Linked DNA regions of Alligator mississippiensis. The protein of the gene in region 3 interacts with the protein of the main gene of each other region in a biochemical or structural test. Links are inferred from orthologs where the notes say so. Each region holds a gene or a part of one and is shown on either strand. Other genes may lie near its edges. The genes, in order: PDZK1, MPP1, ABCC4 and ERBIN.

Evidence for each region.
Region 1: the proteins of ABCC4 (region 3) and PDZK1 form a complex in vitro, tested with the Homo sapiens proteins (2 studies listed by BioGRID and IntAct, with this or other methods). The link is inferred for Alligator mississippiensis from reciprocal best matches to the Homo sapiens genes ABCC4 and PDZK1.
Region 2: the proteins of ABCC4 (region 3) and MPP1 form a complex in vitro, tested with the Homo sapiens proteins (2 studies listed by BioGRID and IntAct, with this or other methods). The link is inferred for Alligator mississippiensis from reciprocal best matches to the Homo sapiens genes ABCC4 and MPP1.
Region 4: the proteins of ABCC4 (region 3) and ERBIN interact in a test that uses a peptide from one of them, tested with the Homo sapiens proteins (2 studies listed by BioGRID and IntAct). The link is inferred for Alligator mississippiensis from reciprocal best matches to the Homo sapiens genes ABCC4 and ERBIN.

The regions. Positions count from the first base shown.
Region 1 is NC_081824.1:268,601,628-268,609,283, reverse strand, and holds the start of PDZK1 (Na(+)/H(+) exchange regulatory cofactor NHE-RF3), read left to right. Parts: upstream 1-4,621; 5' UTR 4,622-4,914; intron 4,915-7,656. UniProt on the Homo sapiens protein: A scaffold protein that connects plasma membrane proteins and regulatory components, regulating their surface expression in epithelial cells apical domains.
Region 2 is NC_081831.1:36,491,248-36,499,158, reverse strand, and holds the start of MPP1 (55 kDa erythrocyte membrane protein), read left to right. Parts: upstream 1-4,827; 5' UTR 4,828-4,928; coding exon 4,929-5,030; intron 5,031-7,911. UniProt on the Homo sapiens protein: Essential regulator of neutrophil polarity. Regulates neutrophil polarization by regulating AKT1 phosphorylation through a mechanism that is independent of PIK3CG activity.
Region 3 is NC_081824.1:367,956,542-367,964,646, forward strand, and holds the start of ABCC4 (ATP-binding cassette sub-family C member 4), read left to right. Parts: upstream 1-4,971; 5' UTR 4,972-5,284; coding exon 5,285-5,358; intron 5,359-8,105. UniProt on the Homo sapiens protein: ATP-dependent transporter of the ATP-binding cassette (ABC) family that actively extrudes physiological compounds and xenobiotics from cells.
Region 4 is NC_081826.1:260,483,012-260,491,202, reverse strand, and holds the start of ERBIN (erbin), read left to right. Parts: upstream 1-5,173; 5' UTR 5,174-5,355; intron 5,356-8,191. UniProt on the Homo sapiens protein: Acts as an adapter for the receptor ERBB2, in epithelia. By binding the unphosphorylated 'Tyr-1248' of receptor ERBB2, it may contribute to stabilize this unphosphorylated state.

The DNA.
Region 1 (7,656 bases), about 99 Mb from region 3:
GACAACCCAAGTTTGTTAAAATTGGTTCACCAAGTAATTAGAAACAGCACAATGTTAGGGATGCCATTTCCTTTATCTCATGAACCTGAAGTTGTGTGGGTTGTCTGAGTAATTTGTTATTTAACTCACAGCTATGTTTGGGTTATTTATGTATCAGCCATCCGTGGGCTCACCAGATTTAAAATGAACCTTGAGCATAACCCATTCAAGCATCTAGTTTAAAATGTACTTTTTGGCATCTCCTTACAAGCAAATAAACTAAAATAACTTTCTCCAAGCAACAGCTTGAATTGGAATCAAATAAGCTATTGAACAATATGTGTACAAAAGGAGAAAAAAATATATTTCTTCAACTTATTACAAAGATGACATTTTAATCCTTGGAGGCCCTTACAAAACTGAATCATGGTGCCATACCAGAAAAAAAAATATCTAAAGAATACACAAATAAGAAAAATCACCAGAAATCAGGGATTTTGGAAAAAAGAAACATTTCACCTGGGCAAGAAAACTGAAAACATTAATCCTCTTTGGGGACTGAGGTCCTGAAGCATACTGTGGGTACCTGGAAAGCACTACTGGTTCTTCTTCCTCTTGCCTGGAAAATGTGGGAAGTTACTAGAAAGGAGATGAAGAGACAGAACTGGCGAAGCAGAGCTGGAAAAGGCTCCCAAGCAGGAAAACAAACCAGATGCTTTGTACAGAAGGGGAAGTGACTGAGCTGTCTTCCCTGACAAGAAGAGACCAGGTGTATCTGCAAGGCTGGGGACAGACATCCAAAATGCCAGAGCCTGAATTAATTCAACCCTTGCAGGTTAATCTAACCTGCCCAGGTTGAACCAGTTTGTAACAGGATAGACATTCCCAGTGGACTGAGGAACTGAGGGCACATGCCTGCAGTTGCTCAGGCCAGGCGCCAGGAGGTGGTAGAGCACATTCTCGACTGCAGGGAAGCTATGCTGCGGGGCCATGGCCAGCCTGGGCTGAACTGGCCAGAGAGGGATTTCATTCCCCATTCCCTGTCCCACCAGCAGGGCCCTGATCCAGGTCTGCTAGGCACTCCCTCATTGCTGCTGCAGCAGCAGGGCACAATGGCCCCTGAGACAGATGGGGCCAGGAAGTGGGGTTAGTCTCCCCTCTAACTAAAGTGGCAGCCAGATCTGCCTGCGGTCAGTGCTGCGCTCCCTTTCTGAGGCGGAACAAGCCCCCTGCTGTCCCCTCCACTGGACACCGGAGGGAGGGGGACTAACCCCCCTCCCTACCTGCCCCCCTTCAAGGGGCCCTGCCAGCCAACTTCTGGCCATACCCCCATCCCACGACTGCAGTGGAAGGGGGCAGGGCCCTTGATGGGGGCAGCAGCCCCTGTCATAATGTCAGGGAGTGCAAGCCCTTCCAGGCAGGGGCACTGCACTATGGCGTGGGCAGAGCTGCAGCAGGCTGCATGTGGCAGCACCAGGGTCCGGAAGGGGCCAGAGCCCCCTAAGCCCCCACAGCGCTGCCATTGCCATGGTCCACAGCAGCTTTCCTTGCCCTACAGTGTGGCCCCCCTGCTGGGAAGGCAGCCCACTGCAGCTCTGCCCACCCCGCAGTGCAGAGCCCCCACTGGGAAGGGGCTCATCAGTGGTGACATGTAGGGGGTGCACAGGGGTGCACGTGCACCCCCTGAGAGCACTGGTGCAGCCCCTGACCAGCCATGCTTGCTGCTTAGGTGACAGGCAGGGGAAGCAGGCAGGAATGCTGGTGCCCCCCCACGAGCGCTGGCAGGGGAGTGGGAGCACCATGGCTCACTGACCCCCACCCTCCCAGTCAGTGAGATTGGCTGCAAGAGGACGTCCCCCCGCTCAGTCCCCCCGCTGACTGGTCACTGGGGTGCCATGTGCCCCCCCCCGGACTAAGGTGGTACCAGTTGCCCATGAGGCTCACACTGACATGACAGGGGCTGCTGCCCGCATTAAGGGCTCTGCCCACTCCCACTGCAGCGGCAGGGAGGGGGCAGGGCTAGACACCGGCCAGCAGGGTCCCTTGGTGGGGTGGGCAGGGACAGAGGTTATTCCCCCTCCCTCTCGCATTCAGCTGAGGGGACAGCCGGGGACTTATTCTGCCACAGGGAGTGAGCATGGCACCAATGGTGGGAAAACCTGGCTGCCATTGAGGATAGAGGGGAAACTAACCCCACTTCCTGCCCCACTCTGCCTCAGGGCCATGGTGCAGCAGCAGTGAGGTGGGAGCTCCTGGCAGACCTGTTGGTAGGACAGAGAGGGGGGAATTAAACCATTCTCTGGCCAGACCCCTACCCCTGCCCTGGCTGGGAAGCAGTGGGGTCAGCCCTGCTAGCCTGGAGCAGAGAAGGCAGCCCAGAGAGCATGCTGGGATGCTGGGGGACTCTGGTTTAAGTTAAACCAGGAAGGGGTCTGAGACAGACATTGCATAAACTGGTTTGAGCCAAATCAGTTAAGTCTACATTCAACCACGTTTATCTCAAACTGATTTCGGCCATTTTGAAACTGGTTAACGTCCACTGAATGCCTGTTCTGTTACAGATTTAAGCCAGTTTCTGAGCATTTAAACTGGTTTATGTGTACTGTCTCTAGCCCAAGTCGGAAAGGATAAATCATGAACTGCCTACCTGGCTAAATAGAGATGGGCACTTCAGCCTTCAGCGTTAGCTAGACTGAGCTGTATTGCATAGGGGAATCTGCTTGTTTTTCTAATGATCTGTAATCTTTTGTGCTTCATTGTGTCTATTAACAAGCCAGGATGTGTTTCTGCACAGTTTCTAAGCCTATCTCTATGTTTGTCTGCTTCCCCATTTGAACAATGGGGGCAGCAATAATTACAATTTCTCATTGGGATGGAAGTGCTATAGAAGTGCCAAAGGTTATTTTACTCACAGTCTTCTGCACCACCTTACTGTATGCTTAGTAAAACCTAGGATTGGCACCAAGATCCTAAAATCAAACAAAAATTTCTTCCCTTGAGAGACCCTGCAAATATGATACTGTAACCTTAGCTCAGTTAGGCACTACAGCATACAGTTGAATTGGCAGAGTTATAGTTTATCCCTGCTATAAATCTGGAATGATGGCTTGTAAACAGATAACTCCTTAGGTAGCACAGATAAGCTTTACAGAGTTTGCTCCGAGCTTGCATCTGATTCCAGCAGGAGTTCCTAAGTGGAGAAAACACATGCTTATTTTAAAGTAGTTACTCCCCAAATGTTAATAATGTGACAAAGAGAACACAGCTGCAATGCAGTAACATAGCTGAGTGATACATAGGGGGAGGTTGAGTTATGGGGTGGGTTGCAAAAACAGCAGCCCAGCCAACGCTGCTGCTGGCAGCATTGCCACTAATGCTGACCCACAAGCCACCCCTGCCCAGGGTGCAGAAATGCCCACACTCACCTCTGCTGCAACAGAAATAAGCATGAGATGGAGCATAACAGGCCTTAAGTGACCACAAACCCAGCTCCCCGGGGGCGTATGATTACATGAGCTGTGCTTTTTAAGGGTCTAGACATCAGATGTGCAACAGTGCTTAAGAACATGCCCTAAATGACTCAGAAATCAGAAAAGCAAACGATAAAAGTCCTGCTTTATGATTTTTTAAGTCAATTTCATGATTTGGGGGCCAATCTCATCATTTCTGAGCACATGGGGTAGGCCATGCTGAACATTAAAAGCTTTCAGACACAGTGGAGGGCCTCTCACGCAGACCACACTGACAAGTGCTCTGAGCCACGTAGAGGTCCTTTCTCCAATGCTTGCAGCTGCTGACTCATTCTCTCCAAAGAACTTTACCCTTATTGCATTGGCCTATTACACAAGAACCCCCACCCAGTCTCTTGCCTGCCTTTGAGACCGACTGCTGTCCAGTCACAAAGGGTATTCACAACCCCATTCCCAGGTATGGAATTTTCCTTCTGGGAAAAGGGTATCCCAAGCCCCCCTCTCAGGTGCCAGGCTCTTCTCCATGGATTCTGACCCTTCTGGAATCTACCTACAAACATTGGCCCTCTCTTCTGACTTCGCTGGAACATCTACATAGGCTTAAATTACTGTTCTTAAAGCAATTACTAGTCTGTAACACATCTCCAGTACCCACGAAGCTGATGGAGCCTGCTCATGGAGGGAATATCAAATGAAGCTGCATTATGACAACACCACATTACCTCAACTGTTGTGCAGTCCCCGGGGGCTTCATAATAAAGTGACTGGCAGTCAGAGGACTTGGATCCTATTCCCAGCTCTACCATTGACCTTGATCAGGCTTTCTATTGTCCTCCTGCTGAAAGCACTTTGCTGGGCCTCTTGCTTCCTTCCCACCCTTTGTCTTCCTTCTATGTTAAATTGTAGGTCTCTGGGGCAGGCACTATGACTATGTTTTTTCCTGCAGTGCCTAATACTGTGGGGCTACAGTCTTCGTTAGGACATTTAGGTGCTGCAGTAATACAAATAACATTGATTTCTAGCCACAATCTGCCTTGCAAACTCACTTAGAGTGCCTATGCAAGGTCTAGATAAGTTTGCTATATATAGCACATATACGTATATATCTGCATTCACCCATCAGTCAGGTTGACATTTCCCTGATCCTTATTTTCATTGTCTCTCTGGGAAAGCTCAAAGATCAGGCTTGTCTTGGACCCACTCCTGGAGAAACCCGAGTTTGCTGGTGTAATAATCAGTGGAACATGGAGTGGAATTCAAAGCTGCTGAGAGGGGAGAAGCACTTTGTAGCTCAGCAGGCTGGCCCAAGGCAGGTTATCAAGTAGATAACCTATGCAGTGAAACTCAGTTAAATAAATCATCTTTTAAATCAACCTTTGCTCTACCAAAGTCCAGCTGTGCCTACAGTTACAACCACCAGGAGAGACTGCTGCAGAGCATTCCTGAGGATAGAGCTCTTACACAGGTAGGAATTTCCTTTTCTTCTTCACTGCTCACTATCCTCCAAATCTCCTTCTTGTTACAAAGCAGATTCCACCATGTACCATGCATGTAAGGCTTCCCTGCACTGAGAATGGCATTTCTATTTGTCTTTGGAATTTTCCTTCCCCTCCACCTGATTGTGTAAGCTTTGTCTACATTGGGGTTTTTCTTTGATTTCAAGCACCAATGCTCATTCCTAGTGTTCAGCGGACAGACTGCTATGACCTTCAATTTTAATCAATGTAGCCCACTGGTTTCAGGAGTAAGCTCCACTGAAATAGGTAAATTGTGTGTTTCTACATAACAGAGGATGTTGCTCTTTACAGTTGATGGGCTAAAGAGCAGAGCAGAACCTCTGTCAAGATGAACTCTCTGAATAGACCCTGAGGAAAAAGCTAAAAAGAATAGAGGGAATGGGTGCAGCAGTACTTCCTTCAGTCTTAACATCCCCTGTGGTGTAAGCGTTATAGACTGGAGGCATTGTAGAATATTAAGTTACTCTTTCTCTCTTGACAGTGGGGGAGCACCAAGCTACCAAGCTTCCTTTATCCTTCTAAACTTCTTCTGAAGTGTCTGTGCTTCAGATACTTTTGACAGCCTAGCTGACCCACACACACCCTTCTACCAACAGGGGAGGGGAAGGGACTGTAATAATCTTGGTGTGTATTTACACATGCATGCATGCATGTCTATGTATGTGGGTGCATGGGTGTAGGAATCCAATTTCTGGGGGATATCAATCATATAGTTAAAAATTTGGAGTGGTGAGTCCACAGCCAGAACTTGTCTGGTGCTGGACTTTGCGGGATACTTCCCTCAACGTATCTGTGATTCTTAGAAATATTGGGGGGGGGGGGGGGGGGTTTGAAAGAGCTGTCGTTAGCACCACAATTTCCCAAGGCCAGACCATCTGTACAACATAGTAATCTAATCGTGCTCCAGAGTCAAACTCCCTTTGCCTCTGATGAAATTCTCTATGCTCAGAAGTTCATGGGCTCTGTGGACATGGGTTGTTTTCTGCTAGTGGTCACAGAGTATATTCAAAGGCAAACATGTGATCAAGAGCCTGAAGTGAACTGTGTGCCAGATCCTCATAGTAAGTGTTCCTGTGTACATCAGCCACAAGATAAAGAGTGAAAGGCAGTGATTATGAAAGTTTTACAATGGGTGATTAGATGGCCTTTATCGGCCTAGGCTGTGATTAATGTATAATCTCTCCAACACAGCTTTCCGTGGTCATCTCACAGATTCCTGCTAGTAAAGAGAGGATGAAGAAAGTCCATTTTTGCTGAAGCCCGATAGATTATCGACTCATTATTGCCTGAACTTCCAGAGAGCCTACATTGTCCAAATTAGCCACCACTTCATCCCATGGACATATTTATCAATGTGGTTCTTTGGCAGGATTGCTTGAGACGCCTTCCCTAGAGAAGCAGCTTTCTCTGCTTGCTTTCTGTACCTTAAACCTGCCTTTTCATGACATAACTCTCTAAAATAGCCAGGCACCCAAAGAGATAGTGTACTATTCAGCCTAGTAGTGGTATTCATAGCCAAGTATGCAAAAGAACTAGCTGTCCCTGCCACATGGCTACATCAACAAGCTAAAGAAACATTCCAGACAGACACTATTACCTTCCAAAGAGGTAATTTAGGATTAGCATATTTATTTGCCTGTTTCTGCTAAAATATTCAGCAATGAACTAGCTGGAATCTGAGGATTCCATAAGTCGTCTCATGCATAAAATATTCTGATTCAGTAGGTAGGATAGTGGTCTTGAACATCCAAATTACTAGTAGACCCCTCAGTCTTGCTCCATAAGCAGCAGAAAGGGAAATGAAAAATCATCAAGTCCTTTTTTGGCCAAGTAAGCGTATCATTTGTGGAGACAATGCTTGGGTATGGAGAACCAGACATTGAACTTGGCCAGAGAAAGGTGCTTTGTAAATAGGTGCCAATTGTTGGCATTGGATTTATGACCCAGATATCTTAATCTGAGTGGACCCAAACCCTCATACCAACCAGGACTTCCTTTTATCCAATAATTGACAAATTTTATTGATACACAATGATAGTATACAAGAATAATACAGGCAAGGCAAACAAAATACACACCTCTCCTACCTCCCAATTCTAGATCTACCAGTCCTAGGGTTGTCACAGAGGGGAGGTACGTCTGGCCAGCACGCAAGCTTGACCCTGTGGTTTTCTTGGATGTCAGCAGCCTGGAGACCCACTCCCACCCATTCCCCCCACACTGAGGTGGGTGAGATGGGCTGGTGATATGCCCCCTGTCCATGGTAGCCTCATAATCCCACCTCAGGAACCCTTTGCTGCTCTTTTTGTATTCCTTCCTTTTGTAGTCTCTCTCTCCTCTGCTGACTCTCCATTTCTGGGCATCATTGATTGGTCTCCCTGTGGTCATCGTACTGTCCACATTCTGTTCTGTCAGCATATTCCTTTGTTCCAACAAACCCATCAAATGCACGCATCTTAATTTGATCATTTACCAGCATCTTAATTTGGACATGCCCCGGATGCCTCAAAACCAGAAATCACAAGGTCTCTGCAGCTAGTCACTGTGACCTGGCTCCAACATGGCAAACCTATCTTTTGTTATGGATTAGAGTGGTACATGTTTTCAATTTCCCAGCCTGTTTGTCTGCTGGCTTCAAATATGGTGGGCCTTGAAGCAAAAGTTGTCACAAATAGGCTTTTAGAAGCCAA
Region 2 (7,911 bases), on a different chromosome or scaffold from region 3:
GGTTTGCTTACACTCCTACTTCCAAGATTTAATCCTGCAGTTTACATTGTTTTCAATCTGGTTCCTAGCCATGACCAAGATGGTGGTCATCACATGTGGACTGCATCACTTAGCAGGTGGTGTATGGTATGGCATAGTTGGGATATGTACCTGTAGTGTTAGATGATACAAATAATGCTTTTACTTTAACCTTTCCTACAAAGTAGTTTTGTGGAATGGCATGCCAGAGGAATTTTCCCTATGCTATCACTTGTAGATCCAGTAAGTATAGCCTCTTGTGTGCTCAATGATCCTGCTAAACCAAGAAATCTCAATAGGCAAAACTCTCTTTTTCTTCTCTTTCTATTTAAGCAATTACTTTTCTTTCAGTCATCATGTTGAGTTGCCGTGACCTTTCTCTTTTTCCTTAGGATATGTTTTCTTGTGCAGTTTGCTATGTTATAGGTAGAATCAACACTGTATGTTTTGATTCGTGATGTGCCCTGTGCTTTTAAAACAAAGTAGTCCTTCAGAGAAATATATACAAGAATAAGTTTTCCCAGTTTATGAAGTACTTCATTAAGCCTCTGGGTGTGGTAAAAAGTAATTAACTTACAAATAAAAAATGTTCATAAAATTTAGACGTGAATTTTTTTAAAGGTTGGGAATATTCAGATTTGGGTTTTGAGTTAAATGCATATATTTTATGGCTTATTTTTACATAAAGAGCAATAGTTCTCATTACCAAAGAAAAGACTAGGGTCCTCTTACTGGACAGTGGTAGATGTATCCATCACTCCCCGCTGTATAAGTTTCTGCTGAGATGGGAGGAAAAACTAATTTCCTTTCTTTGAAAAAATCTATTTGTGTGAACTGAGGCTTTGGATACCTGCTATACCACACCCAGTCCTTCCAGGAATAGTTTTGCTGTATTTAGGAGTGATTTTTGTTCTCAGGGAAGTGTCCTTGATAACTTCATGAAAGAGTATAGTCCAGTATTCCTGAGAGAATTGCACCTCAAATTTGCCTTCTCTGCCAAATCCCCAAACTAAACTTCTCAGTACTTTGTTTTTTTCAGTGTTGCAGCTAGAAGCAGCTTTATCCCACCAAGCAAGAGAAAGTTGTAGTTACAGCAAGTTGGGTCTTATTTTCATTTTCTTTTCCTTTCTTGGTCCCCAGCATGTTCTCACCCTATTTTCCATTTACTGACATGTTATTCTGCCTCCTGCTTTTGTTTTTCAGGGTTCTCATGGAGTGAGAAAACCAAAGGAATTGCAAGGTGTGTCTGTCTTCTCCAGGGTTTGTGGCCCAGCCCAATGAAGTGTTCCTCAAAAGTTCCAGCAGTACATGTGAGCTGTTCCTGGTTTTTCATACATATCAGGTTGGCCAGCACTGTTTCTTTCTTTCTGCTCATTCTGCTGATTTTGTACGAATGAAGAAAATGTACACTGAACATCCAGATCACATTATTTATCATTCAGTAACTCCTAGACCTTCCCTTTCTGATGTTTTGCTATCAGTATGTGTTGAATTAAACCAGTGAAATGACTTGGCAGCTGCTCTTCCTTTGGGAGCATTATCAATACATATACTTTCAAATAATACCCATATCCATGTAATATTACTTAATAGAGGCATGTCATACTGACATTTGGTTTCAGCCACTTGGGACAGATTCCTGGTATGTAAAGAGGAAAACTCCTTGCTAAGCATTACTCTGTACTGAGAAAGAACCTCACACAAGTCTATAACAGAATCAATCATTCATGTTAAATGGATTTATTTCTAAAGGATTCATTTTTTATCTTAATGGGATAAAACTTTCCTTGCAGCATTACCAAGTTGTGGTATGAGGCTGTCCCTATGTGCTACACTGACCTGAGGGACTTTCTTACACTAGTATTTATGTCACAGTAGGGACTAGGAGTTCCATCCAAGGTCAAGTTTCTGTTGTACTAGACACACGGCAAACACTGTAAACTTTTCAGGACAGTCACTATCTTTCACTTTCTGAATAGACAAAACAGACAATGAGAGGGGGCAAAATGAGAGACAGAGAGGGAAATGACTTGCATGACATCAGTGACAGATCCCAGAGTAGGACAAATGTCTTCTGACTCTGTCTAACACCCAGTCCATCTGGTAAAATGTCTGCCAGCATTGTGCAAGCTGATACACGTGACAGACCAAGAAGCATGAAGGTCCCATCTGCTTATGAAGAGCTGAATATGCATCTAGGGATAGGAATGAAACAAAACTGAATGCCTCCAAGTTTCTCAGCTGGGCCATTTTGATCTCTGAACCTGGCCACACCAAAAGCCTGATTCTCTGATCCAGACTTTGGGTCTCACTTTTGCAGTTGACTCCTAGTAGAGCCATATACGCTCTAAACCCCTTTATATATGAAAGGTACAGAGCATGTGGGTTGCTCTGTTTTGGTCTCCTACTCCACAATTTGGATTGCTAAAACTGGTAGATTTTTTATTGGTGGAGTGAAGTGAGACCTACCCACCACTCATCTTGATGGTCGTTGCTTGTTTGGAACATCACATCTAATCAGTATCACAATTTCAAGGAATGTTTTAGGGATCAATGGGCAGCCCTATGGATTTGGGGGAAAAGGGGAAAAGGGAAATGCAGAGCCCATGGGATTTGCTTAGCATACTCAAAACTGCAGTCAGACCATCTGCAATGGTCTATAGAGCAAAGACACAGCAGTTAACATGGTCCAGCATGACTTCATCCTTCATCTCTGTTTGGCCCATCCAGTAGATGGAATTTACCGTTGACCTCTTCAAATGAGCTGCTTCACAGACAGGCAGAAATAAAAAGGAGCTCCTGATAAGTGTATCTATTGTTTATGTCAAATCTGCTGTCTGAGAGGTTTTGCCCATTTTGGTCTAAGGCAAGATTGAATTTTATTAGTGGATGTTAACAGTTATGAACCAAAAAGATGACAAAGCCAGTAGGGAAATACAGAGTGCTTGAGCAAGGGACTAACATAAAAAAGATGGGGATGAGAGGAGGGGAATGCAACTAGGTTACAGAAAATACAATGTTAGCCAACTAAGCCGAGAGCTCCCCCGCTCCACTCCCTGCCTGTACTCCCCCTGCGCCTCCCCGAGGGCAGGGACGCGCACCAGTGCCCCGCCTGTGCGCAGGGGCTGCGTACGAGAAGCGCATTGATCCTCTGTGCTGTGGGGGAAGGGGAGGGAGGGGGTTCGCAACGCTAAGAGAGAAAGAAGATAGATAAACACAAACCTGTACAATGGTCCACAATGATGGAGAGAGTAGGTTGGAGAAAGTTTCTCAGTCCATAGAGTCTCATCACGGGGGTCCTCTTTGGGTGGAGCGGGGTGGTCCGTTGTTGAAGATTCCTCTCAAAGTCCATCAGGTGCAGAGAGGGGTTCGGGCAGTCCCCTCTGGGTCTGGTCCAGTGGCGGACCAGCAGATCATGTTGGACACCACGAGGCAGCACATCAGCTTGGTGTAGCGGTGGGAAACACTGCAGGCATGCAGGACGCTCTCGTTGCTGGGGCCCCAGGCTCCAAGCGGTCCCACGACGGGCGTGCTCTGCCAGCCTCGGGTTCCACTGCTATGTTCTCAGCCAAGTAGCAATCTTATTTCCCAGTACCTTGTTGGACGTGTCTTATGTTGGTATCACCCCTCCTTGTGCCCCTTGTCCATAAGCACTAGCATCTGTGTTTGATTAGGAGTTTTGAAACATGGGCAAGATAAAAGAGGAGCAACTGCTTGCAAGGGAAATGGGCCACTGTGTGAATGAGAAGTGAGCTTCCTGCCTCCAAGTTCCTTTCAAAGTATGACCAATGCTTAGACCAAAACTGGCTAAAACTGGCCTTGAGGTCACCAATCCACTTCTCACAATGAATGTTCTGAGCAAAGTCCAAGGGTGGCAATCTTTGATCACTGTCCATGTGGTCTGGATTTCAATATATAGTGAAATCTTGGTTTCATTGAATTTAACAGCAAAATTCCCACCGATTTCAGTGGTATTTGGATTTCACCCTCAGGGATGTGAATCTCAAGAGGCTGCTGCTGTGAGTCCTGGGGCTGATCAGGACTGTCAGGATGGTGATGTGGGTGGAGTGGTAGTGCTGCACAGTTACCTGATAAGCAGTGGGAGGCTGTGGGCACAGGGGTCACCTCCTGAAGGTGTGAGCAGGGCACCTGCTGCCCAGGGCCTCCTGGCAGTTGACAGGCTCTGTTTCAGGGTGGGAGTTTGGATTGCACCACAAGGTAACTGGACGCAATGTTTTTGGACAGGTTCCTAGACTGCCCTCACTGTACCACCCCATGCCCACTGCCCAGCTGATCCTCTGTGCAGGGGGAAGCTGGACCGTTTCTGACACCCTTCTTGCCAGTCAGAACCTGCCCCACTTCAGGCCGAGGCGGCTGGGGTGCAGGGGGAGGTGCGGATCCGTACTAGGGAAGGCTTGGGACTTGCTGTCCAACGGGGGTTGGCACCTGTATGGGCTCGTTTTCAACCGGGGTCCCACGGTGCAGTTTGCTGGACAAATATGTCCCTTCCTGGCCCTGCCGCGGCCCCGCGGTCCCCGCTCCTTGGGGAGCGCCCGACCCCGCCGCCGCCGCCGCGCGCAGGCGGGCACTGGTGCGCGTCCCGGCCCTCGGGGAGCGCGGGCGGGGAGCGGAGGTCTCGGGCGCCCCCAGCTGCCGGCCGAGCCGGCCCGAGAGCGGCAGCGACCGCAGCGCCGCCCCCGCTGCCGCCGCGCTCCAGGGCGCTCGGCTGCGGCGCCCGCTCCCGCCTCCCCCTGCCGCGGGGCGGGCCGGGGCGGAGCGGGCCGGGCCGGGCCGGGCCAGCTGCCTGCCCGCAGCGCGGCTCCGTCCTTTCTGCCCCGCGCTCTGCCGCGGCAGCCCGGCCGCTCGTCCCCGCGGTGCAGCCCGGCCCGAGGCGGCGGCCGGAGCTCAGCATGACCCTGAAGTGGAGCCGCAGCGACAGCGTGAGCAGCATGCGCACGGCGCTGTCCGACCTCTACCTGGAGCACCTGCTGCAGCACCGGCCCAAGCCCGAGGTAGGGCGGCGCGGGGCGCCAGGCCGCTTCCTCCCTGCCCTGCAGGAACCGCGCGGGGTCGGTGCTCGGCGCTGCCGGAGCCGGCGGGCTCAGCCCCGCCAGCCGGTTGTTTCCAGGCCCCTCCAGGCCCCTCCCCGAGCTGGGAGGGAGGCAGGCCCCCTGGCATCCCATCTGGCAGGGACAGGCCAAGGGGGCCGCCAGAGATCCCGGCGCTCCAGCCTGGTGGGTGACGCTCCAGAGCAAACACCCTGGGCAGCCCCAGCCCGGCCCGAGTTAGGGAGAGCCCCAGAGCAGAGCTGCTGCTGCCAAAGGGGAGAAAGGGGGGTCTGTTGTGGGGTGGCCTCCTCACAGGTCTCCCCAGGCAGAGGGCCCGGTGTGCAGACAGGCGAGGGTCCCCGCAGCAGCCAGCCCCGCTTAGGTGAGGAAGCCAACAGCTCCCCCGTGGTCCAGGCTGGGCGCTTGCTAGCCCTGTGAGGAGAAAGAGCTTCCATTCCTTTTGCTTTGCCTGGGATGCTGCTGTGGCACTTGGGCTGGCAGGTTTTCACAGCACCTTGGGGTACTGATGATAGGCTTGCTTCACTGATGGCATGAATGCATTTGGGTTTCATACCAGGCAGCCTAGAAAAGCCCCACAGGAAAAGGGACGTTACCGTAGATCCTCAGCTGCAGCATCCTAGTTTGTGTGTTGGGCTGGTGCCTTAGCTGCTAACTTCACTGGGACAGAGTCAAAGACACTAAGAAGTTTAATGTACAGTTGCAGTCAGTCATGGGTTACCATCTTTGTTCTTCCCTGCCACTGGCAAAGCTGACTTGGAAAGGCACAGGGCTGGGAGCTAGGACGGCCCGGTCTTTTCTTAGTCTCTTTGTAAGCTTTCAAACAAATCTTTGTACCTGTCTGTGCCTCAGTTTCTCTATTTGTATGACAAAGGAGTGAACATTGCCCCCTCTCCACTTTGAGATCCTCGGCTGGAAGGCACTATATTGTTATTGGAAAGTGTCGTGCTGATGCTTCGTCTTTTTTTTCTTTTTTTTTAATTTTTTTTCGTGTTCCAAGCTAAATCAAGTCCAAATCCATGAGTCAGTCCAGAACCATAAGTGGCCCTACATCTGGCAAACATCTTCCACCCCTACCAGGGGCTTCAGATGTTTCCAATGTCTTTTGGTGGGCATCCTATGTACAGGCCCACGCCTGGAGGCTTGGGGTTTGGATGCCCTCGTGTTTCGCTTGCCCTCAGCCATATGGCTGTAGGAGCAAGCTAGGGAGGAGTTTCCCAATTCCATAAAGTGGCCTTAAAGCCCCAACACCTCAGCGGGTACTGAACCATGCCAGAAGAGCAGTTATCTCCCAGGTGCTTAAGAAAAACTGCCTTGTGGACCCAGATACATGGTGTTTTCCCTGCCAGTCATGATTCTGATTTGCCCCATCTTTCCCTTCTCAGACAGCTTCCTCAGTATATTGAAGTTTTCCATAAGGTCACCAGATGGCTACAGCTGCCTTTGCTGACAGGGGCAGGGTTATGGCTACTCTTAGTAACACCCAGGGTACTGGTGCGTGAGAGACCTGTTCATTCTCCTGCCTTGCCCTCCCCCGCCCCATCTCCTGAGCTGGCAGGGATGGCAACCCTACTTTTCATGCCGGTATACATCTGAAGTGACTCTTGATAGTTTACAAGACTGATCATATGGCATGGTTGCCTGCAACAGCAAGAGATTGGATGAGATCCACTCCCCCCAAAGTCCCTTCCAGTTACTCTGAACCACTCCCTGGCTGTTGGGGGAAGCAGTGTTGACTAGGCATAGAGGGGGACTGAATTCAGCTCCTGCCAGAAGGACTGTTTTGGGGTAAGGGCACATTTCCAGCTGGGTTGGTAGAGGTCTGGTAACCACCTTTAAAATGGTCCCTATTCTGTTTACCTATTGCCATCCCTGTACCATGCATAAATGAGTGTCCACACTAGATGGAGGGGAATTTGAAGCTACCAGAAAGGAAAAAAGATTTGCTATCTAACTCAGTCTGGGTAGGGAGGGGATAGCAAGCTGGGAGTTTCAGAATCGAATTAAAGAGAAGCTCTTTCTTAGTTTTGCTGCAAAGTAGTAGCTGGTCTGAGCTGGAACTGCCTGTCACATGAGCTGATTCAGCGACTGAGCAACCTCAGGAAGCAGGTCCACAGATCAGCCCAGCAGAGATGTGACAACAGATTTTCAGCCCTAGGAAAATGGGGCATTGCTGTTGCCTTCCTCAGTGAGAGTTCTTATTGTGTGGCAGGCTTCATATCCAGCAGCAAGGGGCAGGGTACTCATTCAGGAAAGTATCTATATTGTGCCCCACTGCTGAAAGGGACCATGTCATCAGCTGGTACAAATTGGGGCTCTCTAATGCAGCTGGCAGCAACTTACAGCACCTGGGGATCCAGCCCTTGTTCCAGCAGTGTCCAGGAGGTGATGAAAGCATTTAGTATTCAGGCTATGCACGTCCAGGGTTGGGCTATTACATAAATATACTGCTTTTTTTTTCAAACCTACAAGCACCGGGCGGAAAGCAGGAGTCAAGATTGAAACTTTTGTTCTTAACCCACCCTGTTGTGCAATAGAAACCAGCAAGAAGTACTACCCCACACCATGTGTGCTGACACAGCAACTTTTTAGCCAGTATTCTGGAGTCGCTTATATTTTTGTGGTTTAGATCTGGCACCATGATGAAAACTCTTTAAATGTCTGAAATGTGTATGGAAGGTGCCATTGGTACATCTAGGACAAATCAAAGTAAATCCCTCTAGCTGTGCAGAGTGGGTACTGATTGTTGTTGTTTGACTGATTTCAGTGAAATCATGAACATCTGATGAGGATCTCCCCTCAGTCTCTCCTGCTCAGTATCAGGATA
Region 3 (8,105 bases):
TGATTCCAGACTTGGCATTTATTATGACCCAGAGCAAGACCTTCCCAGAGTTTCCTAAGTGCCAGCAGGAGCATTAGCACACCCCAGGCAAAAACCTCCAGCCATAAATGGCCGTGCCCAGATAAGTGTGGACATGTGGTATGTGGCGCCACAGACCCATTTGCAAGACAAACACCACACATGCAGACATTTCCCACACAGCTACCTGGCAGCGTGGTGAGTTTTTTGATCCCAGGAGATCCCGTGGCAGCAGTGAGCAAGGCCTAAAACCAGAGCCTGTCTGGCCAGAGCCATGCTCTAGCTGCTGGCTGGGCTCCCAGCTGCAGTGGTACTATGGCCCAGGACCCCAGGTAAGGCTTCTGGAGCCAGCACAGGGCATGTGGCATGGGTATTCACTGGAAACAAGTAGCAGTGGCACAAGGTGTGCTGCTGCTACTTGTCCCAAGGGAAACAAATGTTCACGGTCATGTGGACGTGGTCAATATGGCCAACATCCCAGTGCTTAGAGGAAGCCTCCAAAAAACCCCAGAAGGTAGTAGACTTTTATCTTTCCTACTTCCTGCAGGCAAACAAAAGCCCTGAGGAATTGAATTACCAGACATCTACCACATTTTAAGAAAGTTAGACCTGTACCTCAACATAGGGATTGTATGTACTTGACCCTATATATAACCAGGGTTGGTGCCACTGGGGTGCAATGGTGCAGCTGCACTCCCCTTCGATTCTTGCTGCACCCAAACTTTAAAACCAACTACCTTCATAGCTCATTATCATCTCCCTGATTCCTGCTAATCTCTCTCCACTCCATGGGTGATAATGACCCTCTGTCTTTTTAATGGTCCTGCTAACCTACTGTTCAAACTATCCTTTCTTCTGCCATTTTGTTGTCTGTTAGCCATTCCTGGTAATGTCTCTTCTATTTCGTAGCCTGAAGACTGTTTTTAGTTCTAGGAAAAACCTTAACTCAGGTGTAGAAATGGCTAACAGGAAGTATTGGCGGTACTATCAAGACACTCGAGAAGAGTAGATTTTGCTTTATGAATCTGAATAAGAGATGTACATTTAATTATAATGACTACCGGACTTAATGATACAATATATTTTGATCATTTTGACTATTTTGCCTAGTTTATTGTGTTTTTTAAACTTTATAGATAATCTAGCAAATTAGTGCACATTTAACTAGTTATATTGGTTTTTGCTTTGACCTTAAAATGCATAATATGGTGCTAGCATATTAGCAAAGCATCTGGTTTTCCTTTAAGTAGATAAAAATGTGTTGTGTATATGTGATGATGTGCCACACTGTCTGCACCTCCCTTTTCAAAATCCTAGCTTTGTCTATGCATATAATACAAGGTAATAGTTGACCCAACAACTTCTTTTCCCATAATATTATGCTTTTGATAACTTATCTAGTTCAATTTAAAAACAGTTCCGGTTCTTTGTCCCCACATGAGGAAACACTTTCTAGTCAATAAATCAGAAAACGGGATAACAAATTGGACACAAACTGAACAGGTGGGTTGTAAGCCAGTAGACTACCAGACTGTTTTTGCCTATAGTATGAAAGGAAACCAGGCAAGTCAGTTGGCTGGTAAGCCCAGCAGCCTACTTGCCTGTCTGCTTTTCTGTCTTGTTTTGAACAAAAGCTTTGACAGAAACATGTTCATCGGAATCTTTTGATTCCATCAAATCATCATTTTCCTATGGACAATTGTTCCCTTGGAAAGCTTTCAACCACTCTAAACTGCTTTCTATGCTTCCTTTGCCAGACAGTTGCTATGTAATGCTAGGCAAATCACTTAAACCAAATTTTTGTTCCTGGTTACTCATTTTGTGACACCCCCCCCATTTCCTAATACTCATCTTGGGCCCCTGGGAGCTGATTTGCAGAAGTTCTGAATGCTCATAGCTTCAACAGATTTCAATGGGAGTTGCACTTTGAAAATGCATCATTGTGTTGAATATCCTGGAAAAGTAGGTTCTAGATGTACCTAACTGAGTAGACATTTTTTATTTCTTTGGAAATTTTTAATTTACATCTCCTTCATTGGAAGTTTTTTTTTTTAATTTTTAAAGAATAGGCCAGATAAGCATTTGTTAGGGATAGTTTAGGAATAGACAGCTTGCATCTGTGCAGGCAGTTGGACTAGATGATTTTTGAGGTCCCTTCCAATGATTTTAATAACGCTTTGCTTCAGTTTCCCATCCAGAAATTGGAGGTCATACCACACTATTGGGAGATGTAGGGTGAAAAATGTTTGTAAAGCACTGGGTACAGTAGTGATAAATACACAGAAATGCTCACAGGGAAGTTAGTAATTCTATATTCAGACCAAGGTATGAATAGAGCAGTAAATAAGGCATATTGCCATATATTGAGAAATGAGGATAAAATGAATATTGAACAGCTGCCCATTCAGTGATGACCAGTTTTCCTGTACACCAAATGAGAAAGGAAATCTGTTTGTGTTGTTTTTTTTAAATGTAATTGAAGGCTGTAACATAATGCATATGTATAAGAGGTTGAATTGTGTTGCCTTTTCTTAGGCATTTCCTAATCATGAGTGCTTGATCATACAACCTTAATGTTCTTTCAAGGTAGCTGTATGTAATTATTAATAAAGTTGTACTTTCTAGAAATGGCTCTGTGTGTGTGTGTGTGTGTGTGTGTGTGTGTGTATATGTATCTGTGTATCAATAAGCACAGAACTCCATATATGACTAAGTGCAAGTGTCAAGCTAGTGGTTTTGTCCCTCCTGTCTTTATATTATTTCCTATGAATTTGTTCACTTTTCATTTTCCCATTTTCTTTTGTATGTAGCCTTAAATTTTCAGAGGACAAAATTCCATGGCTTGTTTTGTGTTTTATTACCTTTTATAATGATGCAATGTTCTATTTCTGGGTTCTTGCCAGGTAGTGGCATTTTCCCAATGGTAGACAGCTCTGTAACAGCTACTCCTACAAATTTATCTAGCCTACTGGCTTTTAAAAAAATATTTTCTGTTTAATATGATTTTGTTTTTTTCCCCTTCTGCTTTGCTTTCCTCTCTCCATCCAATTATCTTTTAAGAGCATTTGGTTTTGGAAATTAAGTTATTGGAAATACTTAAATGTGTGTAAATGTTTACAAGGCTGGAGCCCTAGTTGGTATCATTTACAGTATCAGTGTCATTCATAATAATGGGGGTGGAATGCAGAGAGAGAGAGGACTTAAGACACTAATCCAGGAAGTAAATTATTTATTCTTTTCTCCAAAGCCAATGTCCTTGGGGGAAAAAAAAATTCTCTCTGTGTTATAACAACAAAGCAGTCATTACGGTATGACTAAAATTAACCAAGGATTATAGACTTAATTTTGCTGCCTTATCCAAAGAAAGAATCCTAATTCACAGGCAGCCCAACTTTACTATTTTATCCCAGGAAGGTAATGGTGCTTATATTAAGATCTCCACCTTAATGTCTTTTCACTCTTTTAAAATTTTTTTCCCCCCTCTGAGTGGTATAAAGACCTTCTACAGGTTTTTTCTGAAGTTCTGGCATGAGCGACCGGTGCCTTCTGAGTCAGATGGGTCCCCCTGCAGCTGATCACACTGACCCAGAAGTGCCAACGACGCTTCTCCTGGTGCCCCTACTCCCCAGCCAGCGCTTTCAGGGGGAGCACCAGCGCTCCCACCTGCCCCCCGTCCATTGCTTAAGTGGGGAACGCTGGCTGGCAGGGGGTGCATAAGCGCTCTCAGGGGGTGGATGTGCACCCTCATGCACCCCCTCCATGTTGCCACTGAGTCCCAGCTTTAACTTTTGTATTAAAAACTGCACGCGCATATCCAGAGAAGCTGTAATGGGGTAGTTATACCCCCTCTTTTGGATTGCACTGTACCAGGGGAGCTTTGGGGGACTTTTTAACTCTTTAAAAAGAAGTGAAAACCTTCCTCCCCTGCTTTTCCCCACTTTCTCTGCTTTCTCACTGTCCCAGGGGTGGGGGAAGCACCAGAGCCGCTCCTGTCTGGTGTAGCCAGGCTGCATGTGGGCTGATCTCAGCTGGGGACGGCAGCAGTGGGGATGGGTTGAGGGGAATCCCCTTCAGTCTGCCTGCTCCCAGGGGATGGAGGACAGAGAGAGGAACTACTCTCCCACCCTGGTGTTGCCCCTGTCCCCTCCCCAGATGAGGCCAGCCTGGCTGGGTGAGGAGGAACAGCTCTGGTGCTCTCCCAGCCCCCAAAACATCTGGGAAAGCAACAATGGCAGCTGTGGAATGGGGAGGGAAGGGAAAGGAGGTGGGACTTGTCACCTGCTTTAGAGACCTAAAGTCCCTGCGGGCTGTTGAGGACAGTCTGTTTGCACGGGTGGGGAAGGAAGCAGGGAGGTAGGGGTACAGTCACCCCCACACCTCTCTTTGGGAAATCCTAGATCCACCCCTGAATAAAAGGTTGGCCACATTTGATCTCGGGGTAACCATGATTTGCCTGTTTTCAGCGAGTGCTAGATTCCAGTGAGAGTGGGCCGTGTGTGTTTGAGCGTATGTTTAAGTGTGTGAGCATGTGTCTAAATGAGCATGTCTCCACATGCACCGTTACTTGGCAGTAACTTAAGTTACCTCTCAGTGGCCAAAAATCACTGCGCAGTCCGCACACTGTGCAGTAACTCTAGTGACATGCACCGATTTGGGTGGAAATTTGCTACCTGCATGAGGCAGGTAGCAAATTCCCACCTGAGTGTTTCCTGCACAGTGACAGGGGTTTAGGTTGTAGCCGTGTTGGTCTAAGGACATAGATGCCTTACTGCACAGTATCCCTATTTGTGTACCCAAGTCCATCCAGACACAAACTTACTGCGCTGTAATGCCTGCGGGTCTAAACCCAACCCTCTCCATAAAAGCCCGGTAAATGCACGTGTCGACATGCGCGGTGTGTGCGTGTAGCTGTGTCCCTACATGCCATTCAAGAAGGGTTTGGGCGCTCTGAGGTGGGCTGCAACCTGCTCTTTCCCTGCCGGGCAGGGGCAGGGCCGCGCCGGAGCCTGTCGCTCAGGGCCGTGAAGGAAGGGACTTTGGAGGGGAGCAGGGCACCCGCACCTGGGCTGTTTCCGCGCCAGGCTTTGAAGGCAGGGAGCGGGAGCGGGTCCGGGCAGCCCTCTCCTCTGGGGCGGCTCCGCCCCGGCCCGGCCCGGCCCGGCTCCCGGTTCCCGCCGCCGCTCTGTGCCGCAGAGGCAGGGCCCGGGGCGGCCCCGGAAGCGGCGGGTGCCCGTGCCAGTGCCCGTGCCCCGGGGCTGGCGGCGGCATGGAGGCGCTGCCCCGCGCGGAGAACCCCAACCCGCTGCAGGGCGCCAACCTCTGCTCGCGGCTCTTCTTCTGGTGAGTGCGGCCCGCGGGGAGCCGGGCTCCTCTCCTCCTCCTCGGCCTCTCCCTGCGCCTCCTCTCGCAGCCGCGGCTGGAGGGAGCTTCAGGTCGGGAAAGCCTGTGGTCGGGCGCGCTCTCCCTCTGCCCGCACCCGTGTGTCCAGCCGTGCCTCTGCCGTATCTGGCATCTCTCTCATTCGCACTCGCTCTGTCCTATCCCTCCAGAGCTGTTTCTTTCTATCACTCTCCTGCTGCATCTGTCACCGTTACCATCACTCACTCTGTCACTGTGGTGCCCTATTGCTCGCTCGCTCTTTATCACATCGCCTTGCTTGCTCTGTCACTCGTATCTATCACCTTATCACTGTCTTGCTCCCGCTCACTCATATTGTATCGCTTGGTCTATTGCTATCATTTGCTCTATCACTTGTCTCTGTCACCGTATCACTGTCTATTGCTCACTCTCTCTTTATCACATCGTATCGCTTGCTCTGTCACTCGTATCTATCACCATATCACTGTCTTGGTTTATCGCTCGCTCTTACTATCATCTCGTATTAGTTGCTCTATTACTGTTACTGTCACTCGCTCTGTTGCTCTATTGTATTGCTCTCTCACTGTGTTGCTCTATCATTGTATCACTGTCTACTCCTCTTTTGCTCTCAATCATATTGTATCACTTACTCTATCACTTGTTCCGTCACTCAATCACTATATCACTGTCTTGCTCTGTCACTCACTCTCTATCATATTGTATCGTTTGCTCTATAACTATAACTATCATTCACTCTATCAATTATATCTATCACTATATCACTGTAGCTCACTGTCATATTGTAGTGCTCACTTTATCACTCGCTCTGTCTGTCGCTCTATAGCTATAGATCTGCTTTAAGGTAGATATTGCTCTGGTGATATAGCTGTAGATCTACTCTGCATAGACAGATCTAGGATTTTGAAAAGGGAGCTGGGCATATAGTGTGGTACGTCATCACGTATAACACAGCACATATTTATCCAGTTAAAGAGAAAGCAGATGCTTTGCTAACCTTTGGTTAGTCTATAAGGTGCAAATCTACTCTGCTGTCCACTTGACTTCAGATTAACAGGGCTAAAACTCCATGCTCTGTACAGAGGTGGCATCACCCATGGCTCATCCCTGCTTTCTACAGTGGTTGCCCACAGCAGGGAGAGAGTTTGCTTCTTGTTTTCCCTAGACTTTTTGGAGAGGGAGGTGAAGAGGATCCCACCCACTTGTCTTCTCCCACTCTGTGCATCTGGATCCCAGCTTTATTCGTCCCTTGGCCAGATATGCAGTGTGAAGACTTTGCAGGGGCTGGGCAGCATGCCAGAAACCTCTTTGTTTGAACACTTTGGAAACCCAGATGGTGTTTGAATTAACCATCTTGACAGTACAACCAGATCTGAGTAGGTGCAAGAATCCTTTCTGGAAGGTGGAGAGGGACCATCCCTTCCTCCAGAAAGACAAAAAGCAAGTGACCAAGCAGATTTTCCCTTATTTAGGGTATGTGTTCAGAGGTCCTAAGTTTTAGGAGGTACAAAAACAAAACATCCCAGATAGCCCTGGTAGAGTTCCCTCTGCTGGGCGCTCACCAGGCTGCTGTGTTTGCGTCTCAAGATGCTAAAGCCAGGATTTTTTTAGGTTTTCCTTGGATGGAAGAGACTGCAGCACACTCTTTTTCCTTGCCCTCTCTAGCCCTTTAGCACAGAGGTGTTGTTAGCTGTGTTAGTCTGAAGTTAAATAGAAGGCAGGGTAGATCTGCACCTTATAGACTAATCAGACCACCTCTATTTTGGTTAGTCTGTGAGGTGCAAATCTATCCTGCCTTTCTCTCTAGCCCCTTCCTGGGCTGTTTCTGCTCCACTGAAATGAGACCATATGGGCCAGCTGCCCAGCACATTAGAGCAAGTGCTAAGCTCTCTGTAGCTTGTGTGCACCTGTTTGCAGGACTGACCTTGTTGGTGTTTTGCATTTTCAGCTCTCCCTGAGTGGTTACACTATATGCATACAGCTGTAAAGTGGATTTCATTGCTGACCTGTATTACAAAAATAAAGCTAGTGTTTGCAACACCACTAATACACTATTTTGTTAGAGCTGGGGAATATGGAAAGCCTAAAGGCCGTGTTGAATGAGTACTTTAAGAAGTGTGATTTTTTTTTTTTTTTAACAGCTCAGTTCTTAATCATTATTCTTAGGGGGAAAAAAATTATAAGTTTGTGAATTAATCCAAAGAAAGTAAAGCATGTATCTCAGATACCAGAACTACAGTGCACAGAGAAGAAGAGAGAGGAAGCAGAGAAATGTGCCAACTGTTGTGTTTTGTAGTGAGTCCTGTCAGGAATGGCACCCCTCTAGGGAATTCCTACGCTCTGCATTAAGAAGTATGCAACATTTGCATAGTTATTCCTTGGTTGCTCTCATTTTCCTTTGTAAACCCTTGATGTCCCAGTACTGTGGACCTTATGATGAGTAGTAGCCTCACTTGTTCTTTCAGGCAGGTGGAGAATGTTGAAAAGTCACGGGTTCCTTTTGCTGTGGATGTAGAGACTTTTCTCAATCCTCTGCACATGCTGCTGTGGAGGGGAAGGAATTCAATCATTTTTAACCTGACTATAAAAAATAGTCATTTTTAAAGTGCTCACTTAAAACTTGAGAATCCTAGTCTTGAGGATGCAGTGTGGTGTGGATTGATAGATAAGCTATTCATGTGCAGCTAAAGAATCCCAGTGAAATCAAGGGG
Region 4 (8,191 bases), on a different chromosome or scaffold from region 3:
AACCACACAGTAAGAAGCCCAGGATTTTACCACATACATGGTATAGGCAACAGTATTCAATGTTTGTTACATCTTTGTATGTAGAGGGAAAAATTTAGACTCACACTAATGTTCTGGATGCATAGGGAACATGTTTAAGGGCGTAGGTTGTAGCTGTGTTGGTCTAAGGACATAGACAGACAAGATTCTTTGGGTAAATCCGATGTCTTTTATTAGACCAACTCAAATAGTTGAAAAAGTTCTTCTTGGCAAACTTCTGGGTACAAATACCTTTCGTCAGGCTGAGGAAGCATCTGTAGATGGTCTATGCTCTTCCTGGATGGAGTAGTAAAGCAGCCAGAGGCCAGTACGTATGGAAGAAAGTCAGTCAGTTAAAATGTAAATTGAAGTGGTCAGTAGGTGAGACAGATGGTGGGGGGGGAAGGAAATGAATGTAGCTGTAGTCAATGGATACAGAGTTGGGGGAAGAGAATGAGAAAAACTCTCCACTTTTTACCAGGTAATCTGGGGAGTCAGATGTTAGGCAGGTTATAATGTGTCATAAATCCAATGTCTATATTTACTCCATTATGTTTTGTATCCAGTAGACTGACAAAGTGAAGTTCAAAGGTTCGTCTGTGAAAAGTTGTTTGTAAATTCCTTTTGAGGATTACAACTGAGAGATTGGTTTTCTTGTGAGAGAGGTGCTCCCACAGGTAACTGGGTATTCTTGTCTTTGATAGATTTTCGGTGTGTGTTTATTCTGGTACACCGTTGTTATTTGGTTTCTCTAACATATTTTCCATCAGGGTAATCGGTGCATTGGATGAGATGTATTGCAATTCTGGAGATGCAGATGTAAGATCCAGGAACGTTGATGGTTCTGTTGTGGGGTATAGGAACTGTGGGGGTGGTAGAGATGTGTTGACAGGTCTTACATTTCTTGTCATAGCATGGTCTGGATCCATTTGGTGTGTTTTGGGTCATAGGAAGTTTGCTTCTGGTGATGAAGTTGGCGAGGTTCGGTGCTTGTTTAAAGCTAGGATAGGTGGTTCTGGAAAGAACTCTTTAAAAATAGGGTCTCCTTCTAGTACTGCTTGAGGATTTTCCATATAGGATCCAGGGAGGGATGGTATGTCATAAACAGTGGTGTGCAATTCATGGAGGGGGTGTTTCTTCTATAATGCAGCAATTTTCTACATGGTAGCCAGGTGGCTCTTTCAAAAGTACGATTTATCTCTCTGGAACAGAACTGGTTAAAATTTGTCCTCGTACAATTTGATGGTTTTAATGTTTTGATTTGTTAGGTGTTTGCAGACTTTAGTCAAAAAGTGGAATGCAACTTAAGTCATAATCCTAAGAAAGATAATTTTTAAAAGCGCCATTTTTTAAACTGTTTGATTAGAAAGACTGTACCACCAGTGGGAGGGACAGTTGTAAGAGCTAGATGCTTTACTGTCCTGTCCATAACCAGCTTGGAAACAAGCATCACGACCTGTTAGTTAATTTAGTCCATTTAATTGTAGTTATTAATATTAATTCATAATTACGATTTAGTATTTGTATTGTAGTGATATTCAGAAATACCAGCTAGAATCAGGGGCCCATTATGCTAGTTAGAATACAAATGCAAGTTAAGAAAAGATGCAGAAAATGAGTGTAACAAACAGTAGGCATAAAAGAGCAACAAGGAATAAGAACATATGGTTACATGGTGCAGCAATATGTATACTGTTCTGAATCATTTGAGTTTTTTAATTTAGAAAAATACATGTTAGATGTGACTGTTTTGGCAGCTTCTTTCAGTTATGTAGTTTGCTGTTGCAATATTTGCTAATCTTGCTATTTAAATATAGAATCAGAAAACTTTGGGTGTGGTGTCTAGTATCAAGACCTAGTTAACTTCCAGGTTGCAGGGGTGTAGGTTGTAGCCGTGTTGGTCTAAGGACATAGGCAGACAAGGTTCACCCAAGGAACCTTGTCTGCCTAAGACCTAGTTAAAGAATTTGTTTCAACCTTCCATAGAATTATGTGCATGGCCCCATCTAAAGATATCTTGCTATATTACTTTAGAGTTTGTATGTTGTATATTTAACATGTAAATTATGTGGTAACTGGAATACCAAGTCTGGGAGTTAATTTTTGCAGTGGACTGTGCTTTAGCTGTAATCTAAATACTATTCTGATATTTATAGCCGTTTTATATCCCTAGGATAACTTTTGGTATATTTGTAATTTGTGTAAATAGTTTAATCTTGTCTGTATAAAATGTCTCGAGGAGCTCTGATCTAAGATACTTTTTTTAAAATTTGTGGTTATATTGTTTGGGTTTGGATGGTGCATACCACAAGTAAAATTAAATCTTACCCTGAAACTATAAATGAAATAATAGTAGATCTTGCATGGGAATGACAGCCACTGTGAATCTCCTACACTCCACTAGCAGATGTGTTAAGTAATTTACAGCAAACATTGCCACACAACCATCCCACCATAAACAAAAGGCAGGATAAGCTCATGCTCCAGGTAGGTGCCTCAAATTGTTCATGAAAATAAGTAGGTCACCAGAGAGAAGTATAGTCTTGTAATAACGTTAATTATAGCGATACAGTGTTGCTATCAGAAAGGAACTCTCAGTTGTTCATGCAAGGTGAAACTTCAGCAATTCTATTGTAGCATCACTGTAGTGACTCTATTGATAAATGAGAAAGTACTTTAATTCTATGCCTCTGTTTTCAAGCACTTTTAACTTTAAGGACTAAAGGTTCTCATACTTGGTCTTTGTCCAAATGTGAGTCATTTGAAGAAAATAGCTTATGTGAACATGAGAGATTAGTGGTGATTTTGTACTTCAAGGAAGAAAAATTAGGATTTTTTTTCCAACTCTGGTTCCAGTGATTGTGTTTAAATTTTGAAGCTTGCCATAAATGTAGCTCTAAGTCAGGAATGTATGCTTTATTAAATTGAGAAGAGGGGATTAGTTGAGAAATAGAGGAGAAATAAGTTGAGCTAAACTAAGTTAATGCATAGTGCTGATATACATGCATGTCAAGTTCCTATGTCCAGATGTCTGACATTAGACAGTGAAATGGGCAATTCCCATTCACACATGAGAACATTCTAATAAAACCTCTGAATGGCACAAACGTGTATTTATTTAAATATGATCAACTGCATTTCATTGCTATTGTAAACTAAACTACCCTCACCAGCACTTCAAACATTAGTCAAATGGTGGCCCGCACGGTTAGAAATGGTTTGGGGAGCTTTTCATCTTTAGGCTGGCTGCTGGACTCAGATGTAGGCTGATAGTGACAAGTCATTACTACCTGATGTCTGTTAGGCGGCTTATAAAAACAAGTTGATGTTTAGTCCCATTCTTAGTCAACAGGTTTTGACAAGAGAAAATTATTGGCAGAGTTGAAGGCAGTCCCAGCAGAGATGCCAAAGATTAAATGGGCATGAAAACTGAACTCCCTCTGTCCTTACAGGTGGTCCCCCTAGAACACAATTAGGGAACATAAGGTGAGCAGCGTGTAGAAGTCTGCCCTGCTGTTGCCTGTGCTGTCCACTTTGCAGCACAACAGAATTGCAGGCTCCAGGACTTCCTTTAGGATTCGGCAAAAGCAGTCAATCAGCTAAATTACAGGGGGGAGGGGGAGCATTCAAGGAAAGAAAAGGTAACAAACAGTTGGTGCAACATGTTGTTGAGTGCGAACATGCAGAGGAGTTCTGAAGCCAGGTGACCGTGAACTGCGGTTCCTGTTAAGTTGTGTGTGGTGATACATTAGAGTTCGTGAAAGTGTAGAAGTGATGGTCCATAAATTATAACAGAAGCAAGCTGGGTTTTTGGTTGTAGCCATGTTGGTCTAAAGACATAGGCAGGTAAGGTTATTTGGGTAAATGCAATATCTTTTGTTAGACCAAATGAGTAGTTGGAAAAAAGTTCTATGCAAGCTTTCAGGCTTTCTCCTGTTTTTTCTTCCCCTCTCTTCCCTTCCCTACCTTTTGTTTTCCTAATTTCCACCCATGTACATTGTCACTGACATCCTGTCATACTTTTAGCTTCTCTCATTTCCTTGGAGTCTTAGACCAGCAGAGACTCCCTATGTGCCTATGTGCTTTCAGGCACAGTCAGACGAAGGGTGACTGTGCCTGAAAGCTTGTAAACTTTTTTTTTTCCAGCTACTCAGTTGGTCTAATAAAAGATATCACACCTACTCAAAGAACCTTGCCTGCCACAAGCAGTGCATGCCCCCATTGGCTGGGAGGGCACGGTGGCAGCGGGAGTGCAGCTGTGGTAAGCGAGGGAGATCCCGCAGACGCCGCGGGTACTGTTGGCAGGGTGGGGAGGATGGCAAGCACCAAGGTTTGGCGACCACCCTCACTCACCGGCGGTGGTGTGGGCGGCGGGGTGGCGAGTGGTGCCCGCCTGCAGGCACTGCGGACAGCGTAGAGGGTGCCCTGCCATGCTCAAGGGGTGCCCGTGCACCTGCTATGTGTCGCCCTGGGGCTGCCACAACAGAAGTGAGAACTCCTTAGGGTGATGATGGCTTGTTGGGCCAACTACGTAGTTGGAATAAAGGCAGACAAGCTTCCCGATGCCAGCCCTTTTTCCTCAGGTCTCTGCTGGCTGCACCGTCAGCCCAGCCCAGCCCAGCTCAACTCGCAGGCCGTTTCCGGGCAGAGGCCCCACGGCAGGGCCTGTGCTGGTGGCCCGGAGAGCCGCCGCCGCCTCCTCCCCGCGCCAGGCCAGCTTCCCCGAAACCACTCGGCTCCTGCCGCCCAGGGCTGCGAGCGGCGCCCACCGCAGCTCCCGCGCGCGCCCAAGGGGAGAAACCCGCGGGGCCCCTTCCCCAGCACCGCCCCGGCTTCCTTCCGCGTCACAGCCAGGCTACGCCCGGCCCTCGGCGCGGAGCCATTGGCTGTCGGCGGCCAGGCCGGGCGCGGACTGGCGGACCTCGCTGCCACTCGCTCGCAGGCAGCCAGTGGGAGCGAGGCGAGGCGAGGCGAGACGAGACGGCACCTCCCGCCGCCGCTGCTGCAGTGCCCCCCCCGGCCTGGGCGGCGCTGTGCGGGCGCTGCCGTGTGCGGCGAGGCGGAGGCAGCGAACGCCCCGAGCCGCGCTCCCAGCGCCGCCGCCGCCGCCGCCGGGCGAGGGAGGGGCAGACGGGGCGGGGCGGGGCGGGGCGGGGCTGCGCTGGCCCCCGGGCCCCTGGCGGCGGCGGCAGGACAATAAGGGGCCTGGGCGGCGCGGCGCGGCGCGGCACCGGCCTAGCGCGGGGGAGGAGCTGGTGCTGCGGGGCCGCTCGCCCGTGGGGGAAGCTCGGCGGCGGCAGTGGCGCTTCCCGGCAGCGGCGCCGGGCCCGGGCCGAGGTGAGCGGGGCGAGGGGCGGGCGAGCCGCGTGGGGCGGGCGGCGGCGCCTCATGCCGCCCTTTGTGCGGCCGGGGCCCGCGGGGCTCAACTTCCTTTGTTCCGCGTAGGCGGCTCCGGATGGCGGCCGGGCCCTGCCGGGGCGCGGGGCTGGGGACCGGAGCCAACTTCCAGCCTGGGCTTGCGCCAGCTCCTAGCGCCCAGGTGGAGGCCGCCCGCCCGCCTGCCGGCGGCACTGCTCGGGGAAGCCCGCGGGCGCCGTCCCCGGGGCTCCGCTACGTCCGTGTCGTGGCTGCTGCTTGCTGTGCGCCGTGGGGGAGCCGGCACACCGCTACGGAGCCAAGTTTCTATGCGCTCTCCGGCCTGCTCTGGTTTAAGGGGGCTCAAGGAGCAGCTGCCACATGTTAGATATACCGGGGTCCCCGCGCTGCTTGAGCAGGGAAGAGAGAGACGATGTCCAGGAAGCAGGAAGCTGTGAACTTTTTTTTTTAAAGGTCTGGGAAGCCAAGGCTGTGGAGTGGCTTGTTTGCGTTGGTAGAAACCAGTGGGAATTGCCGTTGTCCCTTGTGAGGTGAACCTGACAGACAGCGGTTTGTTTTGAGCGATGAGATGAGGTAGGGTGTACAGTGCCGGCTGCTTGTGGTGTTGAGGATTGGGTGGGGGAGGGGGTCAGTTTTGAGTTTTGCAGCAAGGCATCTTAAGCTTTCCTTTTTGTGTGAACTTACCTACACCTGGGTCTGAGTGCGGTCAGAGGTAGACAAGGCACCAGTTAAATAACGAGGCAGCTTTGTGTTTTGTGTGAAAGTTTTGTTCGTCTGACAGACTGGTTTGATAGCTTTTTTTTTAGTAGAAAAATGACAACTTTCAGCTGATCTTAGACACCAGGTATATCGGTAATAAACATCTGATCGGTGTACAGCTTACAGGTTTACCTTTGCAGGCAGCAATAAACATCTTGAAAGGACTGGAACAAAATAGATGGCAGTGAACTTCAGCTTCCTTATATGGCTTAGGCTTGGCAGAAAAGCATTGAAGCCTAAATAGAGTAATCCTTTTACAAAGAACGATCACTTTCCAAAGCAGTGCTTCATTCCCAATAATGACTTTAGTTTCTAAGGGGGGGAACTGTAGCAGTGCATGACAAAAGTAGTTGCAAATCAGTGTGTTTGTGGATGAAATTTGTTTTTTTTCAGACCTTTTGGTTGTCTGATGATACACTTCATATTTTTTCAATGATGTGCAGGAGAATAGATCCTTATAGTTGGGGCTGCAACGTTTTACACTAGTGTTTTGTCACCATGGTAGCTATGATAAGGCCCTTCTTTAATGATGAAAGTGGAATTCACTACTGCTTACAGCTAAGAGCTACGTCATAGAATTCCATTCATTTCATTGCCACAGTGTTAGTTGTAATCAGGAAGCTGATCCTTTTGGGTAATCAGCAGTGTCTTTTAATGTTTTAAAAAATACATGGCAGTATATTTTTTAATTGACAGTTTTGTTCAGTTTAGTTATGTAGTATAAAACATTGTCTCTGGTATGGGTAGCTTATGTACCACACCCTCCATAACTTTCACTGTTTAATCTTTAAAATTATATATTCCTTTGTTACTGAAATATTTTCACTTAATGTACTGCTTTCCCAATCCCCCAAATTGAGTTATGCTCTCTCTGCATGTGCATGATCACCTATTTACTTTTAATTGCCAATGTGCCAAAATACTGTGTCAGAGGCATATAAAACATGGTTAACACAGCAATCGTAAAGAGATCTCTCTTCCAATTCTCAGCCTTAAGTTACTTAAGTTTTTTTTTGGCACATAAGTGAACTTTGTAGGATCTTGTTTCTAAGTCTAATTCATACAGAGTTGATTTTAGGAGCTTTTGGGGAGGAAAAGCTATAAAATGTGGTGATGGGGGGTGGGGGGGAAGTCGTTGGATGTTCAACTTTAAAGTAATAACAGTGCTAATTTTTCCTGAGTTTAGGTTATATTTAAGAGGCAAGGACTTTTGGAGTAATAGCTCCAGTTGGTCCAATAAAAGATGCATAGCAGAGAGAATACAGGCTTGTGCAAAATTCCATGCATTTAATAAAAACAGGGTATAAGTGAGATTATCAGGTTACTTTCCTCAAAAGACATGAGGAAGGGTACAGTGGTACCTGAAAGCTTGTCTATGTCCTTCCCAGCTATACAGTTGATCCAATAAAAGATATCATGGACAAAAATTTTTGCCTTCCACATTTTTCCTGGTTCATCAAAGCTACATCAGCTCAATACTACCAAAACATGGAGAATGTATTTAATGCTTTCTAGATTCTTGGCTAAGTTTGATTATATTCATGGTATGGCTACTAAGAAAATATTTTTCTTTACATTTATGACATCAGCATTTTGGTACAGTTTTCCTTGCTTTCCTCTGAAAGTGAAATAATAGGAAGACATTTCTTCCTTTTCATTTTACCTAGGGCTGTTCATGAAATATTTTTCTTTTTTCTTTTATAATTAATGCTTTCTCTTTGCTAGGGGAAAAAGAGAAAAGTTTGTGTGAACACCAAGTGTTGATTTTTTTCCATCACTTCTGGAATCACCTGATTTTCTTTTGGTGGGTTTGATAGCTGGTTTGGTTACTGAAGTTTTGGTTTAACTTTTCCAAATAACTGGGAGATAAAACTACTTTTATTAACCTGAAAATAAAAGATTGGATCCATGTGGGAACATGCTTGCTGTGCAGGCAATTTAATGTAGGTGATTACAGATGATGTTCTTGATTAAAACGTTCACTGGAAAATACCACACACACAGAGGTACAGCAGATCTTTCTGGCAGTTTTTGCAAA